Nothobranchius furzeri: one gene and its partner. The protein of the gene in region 2 interacts with the protein of the main gene of each other region in a pairwise test. Links are inferred from orthologs where the notes say so. Each region holds a gene or a part of one and is shown on either strand. Other genes may lie near its edges.

Region 1 (5,541 bases), on a different chromosome or scaffold from region 2:
CAACAAATGCTGTTGCCTAGCAGACCGAGAGGGTGGAGCCGCTAACAAATATACACAGGCTCACACCTGCATTGTGACATCATATAGGGTACCTCTTAGCCAATAGCGATGGCAGATTTAAATTCAAATGCAGTGCAGAGTTTTTACCTGACAACGGCACAACACTGACAGTTTTAGGCAGAAAATAAAAAGTTTAACTAAAGTGCTAAACTATTAACTACATGTCTGCATCACGATTAGACACGCATTAATATAGTTTATCAGAAGAAAAAAGGTAGATTTGGGGGTGACTTGCTCTTTAAATATTTGATCCAGTCTGGCAGAAGTCTTTGTAAACGGTTGGTGATCATCAAGCATGCTTAATTAATTTGTACCATTTTGCCTTTAATTATTACAATCCTAACCCTAACTTAAGTCCTGATTTTTACTTGGCTGCTCTGGGCGGCTGCATGTTGGAGTAGCTCTGTTGACTATATGTAAGTTTTGCCTTTTTTGGACATTTTTTCTTCTAGTTTCTCAAGAAAAACTGTATTTTTTGACACTTTACTTTTCTGTTTCTGGTGCTGTGAAGCTTGGAGGATTTTTACTGCAATTTTTTCACTTTTTGAGCATTTGTTATGATGCGTAACCATGGCAACAGGCTGGTTTACAATCGGGAGCAGCTGATTAACATTGGAAAGGTTGAAATAATACCTCAACTGAAGCCACAAATCCCACATGAGCTAAAACGCAAGAAGCGTGGGTGCAGAGCGGGAGCACAACGGAGACAGAGAAAGAGGAAATTCAAACCATCTCTTCCATCTATCATAATGGGCAATGATAAATCAGGTGCTGGTCAGCATCAGAAGCAGGGACCTGAAAAGGCTCAACAGCCTAATAACAAAGGCTGCTTCTGTTCTGGGGACGACTGTGGAACCGCTGGAGGAGATCATGCAAAGAAGGACTCTCCAGAGAATCAAGAACATGATGGACAACCCTGAGCATTCTCTTCACAAGACTGTCCGACAACGGAAGAGTGTCTTCAGTCAGAGGCTTCTTCAGTTTGGCTGCAACACTGACCGCTACTGGAGATCCTTCTTGCCAACAGCCATTGTAATATACAACACCTCTTTGATGACTTGATTATTATTATTATTCTGAGCTACTACAGCAATCAGTTTCCCTCTGGGATTAATAAAGTATTTTTGAATTGAATTGAAAACCAGAAGGCAGCCAAGAAGAGTTTATTAGAGGAACTAAGTTGCCTAGAGCAGTGTCCTGTGTGCTCTGGGCCTTCATTTGTCGCGTCAGGCCTCCTCTAAGGGCAAAGTGGTGTGCTGTGGGTAGACAGGCGTGGATCCAGGGCAGCATGAGGATACAGCATATAGCTGGTCTATTCTTAGCTCTGACAACATGGCTCTCACTAATTCAGTTCATATGTGAGGAAAGAGGGGGATTAGCATAGTTCTTCTGTCATTTCTGCGAGTATCGATGATATTATTTGCTAATGATTTTTTCTTTGAACATTAGTGTTGAGAGTTTAGAGGAAGAAACGGCTGATTACGTTAGGCCGAGCACAAAAGCCTTCCCTGGCTGGCACTAAAGTCCGGGAGGGTAGAAAGCACGTGTACTGGGTGGAGTTTAAAGTTATCCAACAGCCAATGGCGTTGAGGTGTTTTTGAATAAATCTGCATATCTTAAAGTGGATTATGGTCTCTGTGTGCTGATTGGTTAACCAGGATGCGAACTGCCAATCGCATTAACGATAAGAACCCAGCTGGCCGTTAAGTCCCGCCTACCGCGGAGTTGTCAGTAAACCCCGGAAACGATTCTTAAAGAGACAGGAGGCATATTTTTGCTCTAAACCACGAAAACAGCTGTGAACACACAAAAAAAGAAGACAGGCACGTTGAGGAAAGGACGTTATGTTCGTCTGTGTTTCAGGGCTGGGTGAGAGGACGAGACAGAAACGAACGGAACCATTCCCACGTCACATTTAGAGCTAATGCTTCGGTCTTCTGCCGTTAGCCACCTGGAAAAGCGACAACGTAGCACTCCTCACGACAGAGATAACAAAAAGGCCAAACTCCGAGACGACACGGACGCTCGGTTCTGAACGCCTGGACGTGTTTTTCCTGCCGAGGAGCGGGTCCTTCCGTGAGGTTAGTGACGCTAGAACCAGCATTTAGCCAAACTAGTTGTCTTTTAAACCGCATTCATACGTTGTGTGCGTAAGTGTGTCAGTAAGGAAACGAGACAAAATGATATTTACCTAGTAATTTAAAAGGCTTCAGGTGAAATACTTGCCCCGTAAGCGTGCATGGGATCAGTCATCATTTAAAAATGTGAATGAGATCAAACAATGCAGGAATTCATACTGAGACAGCTGATGGACTGACAGTAGGGTTACAGGGGGCGTTCCCCTGCTTTGTCTCACTTTTTATGTGTTTGCATGCAATCTGCAACGCTTAGAGACACAAAGTTAAAGAATAAGCCCAGTGTCCTGTTATGGTTTCATGTGCATCTGATAAGAAAATGCTGTATTTTCTTGCTCCTCCTCTGGTTGTCCATCTATGTTCAGAGAAAGAGATCAGCTAGAATGAGTGATGTATTATATGTGAGGTTATGACTGAGCATAAATCTTGGGCTAATGATCCCTGCAAAGCTCATAGGGGGGAGCATAGCATTGCAGTGGGTGTATTGTTCCCTTGGATTGCTCTTGGGAGTTGCATTGCTTCAGCAGTGATCATGCACTGATGTTTAACAGTTCTCACTGCAAAGGTGACATTTCTGTTGGCCTTAAACTGTGTTGTAAAAATGGAACACAGTGGCTTGGTGCTTGCACGTGCACATTATGCACACATGTTTGCAGTCTCACACTGCCTCACTCATAAAGCACTGGTGCACATGGAAATCCTGCAGCTGCTTGCTTCACACACACACACACACACACACACACACACACACACACACACACACACACACACACACACACACACACACACACACACACACAGTGTCCATATCTACATTGCAGCAGCACAGTACATGCATTGCTCCTTATGCCCACCCCCACCTCTCTCTGTCTGGGAGAAAGCAGTGGGCTTTGTCCTCAGCTGAGTGTGACGTCATGCAGATATTTGCTGTAACCAGCCCTGACGGCAGTGTACATGTTGTTCAAGAGACCTAGGTCTGGGCATGTCATATGTTCAAACACACTTGGTCTTAGGTTCCCCACCTCCCTGGGAAAGAAGGAAGCTCTCTCTAATGAATGCAGTATGGCCAGGTGAGACAGAGGAACTCAGTAGATCTGTTCATTTCAAAAGAGAAGATCAAACACTGCAAAGGTAAAAGTATGAAAGCAAAGGAACTTCAGGAAACCCCAGCCATGACTTCCTGGATTTCCTACTTCAACATGTAGAGTTCTGCGTCGTAGACCTGAGTTTTAATACATCTGTAGATAATTATCAAGGAAGAACACAGAGTTGTGCAAGAAAAGGGTTAAATGTGCATGCTTTCATTTTATCATAAGTAATCACCAGTGTCTAGTTCAGATAATGCATGTAAAGAGGTTTATAATAATACCACTGATTCTGCACCTACACTCAGTTTTATACATGGGCAGGTCATCTGATAAACCACGCTACCTAAAGGACACTGTTCATCCCGCTGTCCTCTGTGTGTCCAGCCTGTCTTTGTCCAAATCAAGTGAACATCCTATATTTCTTCTGGTTGTCTGATGTTATGGATGCAGTCCATGATGCTGGTTTTTACCTGCTGTATATGTGTGTATGCCTGTGCATGCCTGCGTGTGTGTGTGTGTGTGTGTGTGTGTGATTATTAAACACCGTGAGCTGTTGGGAGCTTTTTGTGAGTCATCCAATGTGCCCCTGCAGGATTTGATGTCAGAGATTACAGATGATTATGTAGGTTAGATCCAGTCCTCATCACAGCTCTGGGGTTGTATTGATTGTGTGTGTGTGTGTGTGTGTGTGTGTGTGTGTGTGTGTGTGTGTGTGTGTGTGTGTGTGTGTGTGTGTGTGTGTGTGTGTGTGTGTGTATACACACACACACACACACACACACTAGAACTTAATTCCCTGAAACTAAAAACAGGGAGAAATGCCTCTACAGGGGTTACGTTTGAAAGTAGAAAATTGTGCGTTTGTGAGGGCGGTGCTCAGTGGTTCACTCATCTCAGACAGCAAAGGCTGAGATGAAAGATCACTTTGGTGAAAAGCACAGGTAAGGAGAAGAACCTTTTTCACCTAGAAATCAAATATCCTCACACCTCGAGATGCCACGAATATTTTGATGGACCTTTTCTGCAACCGTTTTTCCAGATGAGATGGTGAAGACCTTATAGAAATGTTAAAATTCCCATTTTCTCACTTAAAGCAAATTTCTCTAAGCTTCTAGGCTCATAACTACATTTGCAGTAGTTTTTTTAACGTGTTATACTTGAATAACAAAAACATAGCCTGTGGCTTATTTATTGAACTTCAAATATAAAACAAACTCAAAACATTAAAAAAATAGTGTGTTGGGGTCCTTTGGGTCCTTTTTTCAGTCTAGTAGTGGGGGCAGTTGGCCACACGGGTGCCTGATTTTTAAACAATATATATTTTTATCGGCTTTTATAGATCATTTTAGCTGATGGCCGATATAGAAAAAATTGAATATGTGGGTCAGCCTCTGCTTACAACTCATTCATTCCTACTTTAGACCACTGCAAATGCATTGATTAAATGAGTGTTCCACACCTTTAAGAATCTAATCAGTTTGAACTGAAAACGAGACCCATGTTGACCCACGCTACTTTTATTCCCATACATGATTAGAATCGTCGGTAATTTCGTGGGGGTTAATTAACATGTTGAGCGTTTTCATTATAAGTGCTTTTAAGTAGTTCAAACTGATTTTGCAGCATTCACAGACATGATGTCAGTCATCAGGACTTTACACCATCGGGCCGAGAACATTCCCACAAAGACTGAAGGAAAACAAAAGGAAGAAAAGCGCATCAAGAAAGCTCTCCAAAACTGCAGATGCAGTCTGGAAAAGCATCCAAAGCAGCAACCAGAAAAGGAAAGGCTAACAGGCGCAAAGGCACCGTCATCACATACGTGGCAGGAGTCTCCGAGAAACTTAGAAGAGTCTTCTCCAAACGCAACATCCCGGTAAACTTTAAACCCAACAACACCCTCAGACAGAACCTGGTCCATCCAGAAGACAAAACACCCAAACAGAAGCTCAGTGGGGTCGTTTATGCAGTCCAGTGCAGGGAGGACTGCCCAGATCTTCACGCTGAGAAAACTAAACAACAATTACACAAGAGCATGGCACAACACAGGAGAGCCACCTCTTCAGGTCACGACTCTGCAGTCCACCTACACCTGAAGAACGAGGGACACATTCTGGACAGAGAAGATAGATGGTGTGAGAAAGGAGTAAAAGAAGCTATCTATGTCAAACGTGAAATACCACTTTAAATAGGGGTGGGGGGCTTATATTTAACCTTTCTCGTATCTATAATGCAGCTGTGAATCTCATTCCTAAGCA
Region 2 (4,867 bases):
ATTTCATTCCCAGCTCCCCGTCGGTCCCGTTTGCACTTGTATAAAAACATAACTAGAGTTTAAGTCTCAGCTGTGTAACTGATGTGTGTGTGTGTGTGTGTGTGTGTAGATGCTAACACCGTGTGTCTGGAGCCGGACAGTCTGTCCCTCAGTGGGGGGGTGGACCTGGAAGAAGGGGTTCAGTTTTCCATCTGGGTGTCCTTCTATGAGATCTACAACGAGTTCCTTTACGACCTGCTGGAAGCTTCGCCCTCCCAGCAACCCCGAAAGCGAGCGACGCTGCGTCTGAGTGACGACAAGCAGGGCAACCCCTACGTCAAAGGTAATTCAGACTCTTTGCTCCTCTAGTGCAACTGCTTTGGGGCTCTTCTTGGAGAATGGTTTCCATTGATTTCACTTTTATTTGGACACAATACTTGCTACTTTTATAATTTCCTTCTGCTACATCAGATCTGACCTGGATCCAAGTCCGCAGCGCCGAGGAAGCTTGGAGGATTCTGAAGGCTGGACGTCGTAGCCAGAGCTTCGCCAGCACCCACCTGAACCTAAACTCCAGCAGGAGGTGGGCAAACATTAAACTTTTGCTTTGGGAAAACATGTTTAGCAGAAAAGTTACAGATAATTGGCTCGTGATTGGAACTGGCCGGTATTCACGATGATCAGCTTAATGGGTGATTGGCAGATCTGAAGTAAAAAAAATGGCTTTATTATGTTTTGGTCCAGGATTACACCTTTGTGATGCAGCCATACAGACTTGGGAAGTTTCCTGGTGGGTGAACCCGCCATCACCGAGTGCTGAGTCGTGTTAACGATATTTCTAAAGTTGTTGATTTCAAACAGCTCTTTGAGACTAACCAGAATCAGAGTTAAGCTGCACAAAAATAGGAAATCGTTATCGGCCCTAGAAACCAGAATCGGTGCATCTCCGGTATTTAGTCGGACTTTTTGCGTTGCTCATTGTAAAATCATTTCTGATTTTAGCCACAGCGTCTTCTCAGTCCGTGTGCTGCATGTCCGCCCAGAGGCCGCTTCAGGTCAGGCCATGCACATCAGCGAGTAAGTTTACCCTTTATTACTGTAAACTTCACCTGTTTTACTGTAAAAAGTCCTGAAGCTAAGCTCCGTCTGCCCGGCAGACTGACTGTGTGTGATCTGGCCGGGTCTGAGCGCTGTAAGGAGCAGCGTAACGGTGAGCGGATGAAGGAGGCCAACAACATCAACACCTCCCTCCTGACACTGGGGCGCTGCATCGCTGCCTTAAGGCACAACCAGAACAAGTATGCTCCGAACCCGGATGGTTATGCAGTATAATAAAAAAATGCAGTTTCTAAAATCTCCTGGAACTTTTTTAACTCGTCTGCAGGTTGCGACCCCCTCAGGTGGTGCCCTTCAGGGACAGTAAACTGACCCGGGTTCTGCAGGGATTCTTCTGTGGCCGAGGGACCTCCTGCATGGTGGTCAACATTAATCCGTGTGCATCCATCTACGATGAGACCCTCCAGGCACTAAAGTTCTCTGCTATCGCTACCCAGGTAAAAACAAAACACTCCCACACGCCATTAACTTCTGAGTTCAGAGATGAGGCATGTTGTCATTTCAGCTCGTCCACGGCCCGTCCACAAAGACCAGAGTGGCCTACATCCTGTCGCTACTGTGCGAGCCGGCGGCTAACCGTGATGGAAGCACAGTGATGGAGGAAGAAGAGGAGGAAAGTGATGTTGAAGATGGAGATATCACGTTGTTGAATATGGAGGTGTGTTTGAGTTTGCAGACGCGGGATCTCGTAGTGCTTTGTGCACGTTTGGATAAATGCAAACATTCAAGATAAACATGAGTTCAAGGTGCATTTCCATCTACAGCGAGTTGTTCTAACACCCGGTTGTACGTTATTAAGACTCTGCTGCAGGTCATCGATGTGCTGAAGAGAGAAGTGCGCCGCCAGCGAGTGGAGAAGGAAGTCCTGGAGGCTAATGTGAGGGAGGAGGTGGTCTCGGAGGTGATGGTGGTCATGTCTGACATGCGGAAAGGATTCAAGTATGTGTGCTTGGTTTTGTTCTTGCTCTAATGTACGCAGAACCTGCCGTGGCATCATGTTTTAGATGCTTCTGAACTAAATAGTAAACACACAGCTGATCGTCAAGCGAGAAACAAGAGTGACCTGTTTGACATTAAGATGCTAGTCTGTCTTCTTGTCCTGAAGCGAGTCCTTGGAGGCTGAAAGGGCCATAATGGAGGAGAGATGTGAGGACAGGATAGCTAATCTGCAGAAACACCTGAAGATGTTCTACAGCCAGCAGCTTCAGGTGAGGGTTTGGACTTCTTTAAAGCTTTTGTAAGGTCTTCTCTCTAATCCTATCAAAGGTTTGAGGAGAACCTGCTTCCTGTGTTTCTGTAGGAGCGTGATGAAGAGATCAAGGAGTTATCCACTGCCCTTGAACAGGAAAAGAGGAAGCACGAGTCTGTGCCGTCCACGGCCTCTCCTGTGGACTCGGAAGGCCCTCGGCGCTCTCACCGCCTCATGTCTCAGGCCGAACCGAGGCTGCACGCCGAGCTCGATCAGTGTCGCGCTGAACTTGATCAGTGTCGCTCGCAGCTTTTCACAAAGACCCAAGGTCTGGCTGCATGATGCTTTGTGTTCTAGTGTTGGGATGCAGGTGTTAACAATCTCACTCTGCTCGCGTCTGCAGAGCTGACAAAGCTGAAGATGCAGCTAGAAGTTCCAGGTTCAGCTGGCGCCATCACCAGTGCTGCTGACCGCAAGCTGCAGGAGGGCCAGAGGGTCAGTACCATCTTAGGTCTTAACCCTACCCGTGACCCTCATCGCCTTCACGGACAACAAAAATGTCCTTTCCCTTCCAACAGAACCTGCAGAAGCTGCGTCTGGATTTGCAGAGGCTGGGAACCGATCTGCAATCTGGAGAACGAGCTTGTTGTCGTAACACCGGAGGGGAACGGCTGCGTCACACGCTAACGGCAGCAGACGAGACTCTGGCTAAGCAGGTACAACGTGTGAAAACCGAATAAGTTTGTTTCCATTTCTGTTCTGAAGCAGCGCTTTAGTCTCAACATGCAGAAAACCTGGTTAACTAGCCCGGTTCCCGCCTCTTCAGCTGTAGTTTTACTTTCATGCTGATTATAATGTCAGTTCTCATGTTGACCTATGCTCTCTCTCTCTCCCTCTGTCTGCTCTCCTAACACTCCTGCTGCACAGCCAGCTTTAAAACTACATTTAGGTTTCTAACGTCTTCACCAGGTGTTTGCTAAGCTAATCAAAGCATGTAGCATTTTTCCTCCCACTCTTTTCATCCTTCCACCCCCACGATCTCACCCTTCCTCCGCTGTGGTCTGGTCTAACCCTGTTCACTGACTCTTTCTCAGAACCAGATCCTGATGGAGCTCCAGAACAACCTGACTCTGGTCAAGGCAGACTTGAGGCGAAAAGCGGAGACTCTGGCGGGGTGTGCCCAGCTGCCCCCTACGAGCTTCGCCGCTCCCACCACACCTGGTTCCTGCAAAAAGAGAGGCGGCACAGCGACCACCCCAGCTGGAAGCGAAAACCACCCTCCACAGAAACGGCCTTTCTTCCAGTCTCTGTTCCCGCCTCGTAAATACAACACCCGCGTCGCCGAAGAAGCCTGCATGACCCCGTACACGCGGATCCTACGATCACGCCAGCCATCTCCTCCTCCCAGCCCTGTCCCGACCCCACGCTCTCTCAGGGGCAAATACTGAGCTCCTCAGTGAAAAGCCTTGCTGCTGCTTAACTCTATGGCATTGCTTTATATTTGAGACTATTTTTGCCGTGCAGTTTTTTATCCGTAATGCCAGTAACACGATCAACGCTTTAAGGCAGGAGTGTGAAAATCAGCCACCTGTCTGTGTTGCCTTCACTTGCATCAGCGATAAGTCAAACTAATTTGTGTGGTCACATTTAATCTGTTGCAGATTAAAGAAAGATTTGCATGTAACACAAACACAGCTACGGCGTCTATGGGCTGCTGCTGGAGATTAGTATGACTCCCTCTGTCTCTGGAAGCACTTTTATGTTTTATCCCAGTGATCCACTGCATGTCTGATTCTGTGGGGATTCTTTTGTTACTTCGGTTTGTTTTTCGGGACTAAATTAAACTTTTATTTCTTATTTGGGGGGGGGTGTGTCTGTGGAGTTTGACTGTAAAGAATTAGAAAGTGATTTGTAAATAATTTAGTCCTTTCTTTGTGCTGTCTGTCCTTTCCTTCATCTTTATTTCATTTGTATTAAAACATTTAAAGGGACAATGTAGTATTTTTTATTGTTAATTTCTGGAAGTATCCAAGATTTGAAAATGAATGAAATGACGCCCAGTTAAAATATTAGCGGCTTTGTAACGTATAACCATAAAAAAACGGTCTAAAATACATGGAAACGGGTCGAAGGCCCGATCTCAACACTTGCACTGCGCCCTGCAGCAAAGTGCACTTGGAGAACGTGCGCTGTAGAGTTCGAGTGTGTAGTACACAAGCGTGCAAATAATTGCAGAATTGAGACGGGGAGCAATGCATCAACTTCTGCACTTGAGAATCGGGACATCCTACGCACCCGCACCCCTGGCCGGGAACGCTCAATTCAAGGGTGCAAGAGGAAGTACTGGGATTGGGTCCAAGTCTCTGGGTGACGCAATATTATGGGTCATTCCCATCTGTACCGGGCCGGGTAGCGTAGGTTGTTTACATATCTGGGTGGCCTGGTATTTTTCCAGGCCAACCAAGGCTCATTCTCAGCCCTCTTCTCGAGGGGGTCTGCTTCAGGCCGACCAGGGCCAACACACCCACTGCTGACAGCAAATTCACACCTTCCATTAGAGTAAGCCTCTGATTGGTGTGTAGA

Evidence for each region.
Region 1: the proteins of kif20a (region 2) and atosb interact in binary tests that used the Homo sapiens proteins (3 or more experiments, as listed by UniProt). The two-hybrid records come from large-scale screens. The link is inferred for Nothobranchius furzeri from reciprocal best matches to the Homo sapiens genes KIF20A and ATOSB.

Annotation. Positions count from the first base shown.
Region 1 is NC_091757.1:57,317,793-57,323,333, forward strand, and holds the start of atosb (atos homolog protein B), read left to right. Parts: upstream 1-1,937; 5' UTR 1,938-2,141; intron 2,142-5,541. UniProt on the Homo sapiens protein: Transcription regulator that may syncronize transcriptional and translational programs.
Region 2 is NC_091750.1:46,183,281-46,188,147, forward strand, and holds the end of kif20a (kinesin-like protein KIF20A), read left to right. Parts: intron 1-109; coding exon 110-322; intron 323-450; coding exon 451-562; intron 563-981; coding exon 982-1,056; intron 1,057-1,136; coding exon 1,137-1,277; intron 1,278-1,363; coding exon 1,364-1,532; intron 1,533-1,600; coding exon 1,601-1,753; intron 1,754-1,894; coding exon 1,895-2,034; intron 2,035-2,200; coding exon 2,201-2,303; intron 2,304-2,395; coding exon 2,396-2,612; intron 2,613-2,687; coding exon 2,688-2,779; intron 2,780-2,862; coding exon 2,863-3,000; intron 3,001-3,378; coding exon 3,379-3,732; 3' UTR 3,733-4,278; downstream 4,279-4,867. UniProt on the Homo sapiens protein: Mitotic kinesin required for chromosome passenger complex (CPC)-mediated cytokinesis. Following phosphorylation by PLK1, involved in recruitment of PLK1 to the central spindle. Interacts with guanosine triphosphate (GTP)-bound forms of RAB6A and RAB6B.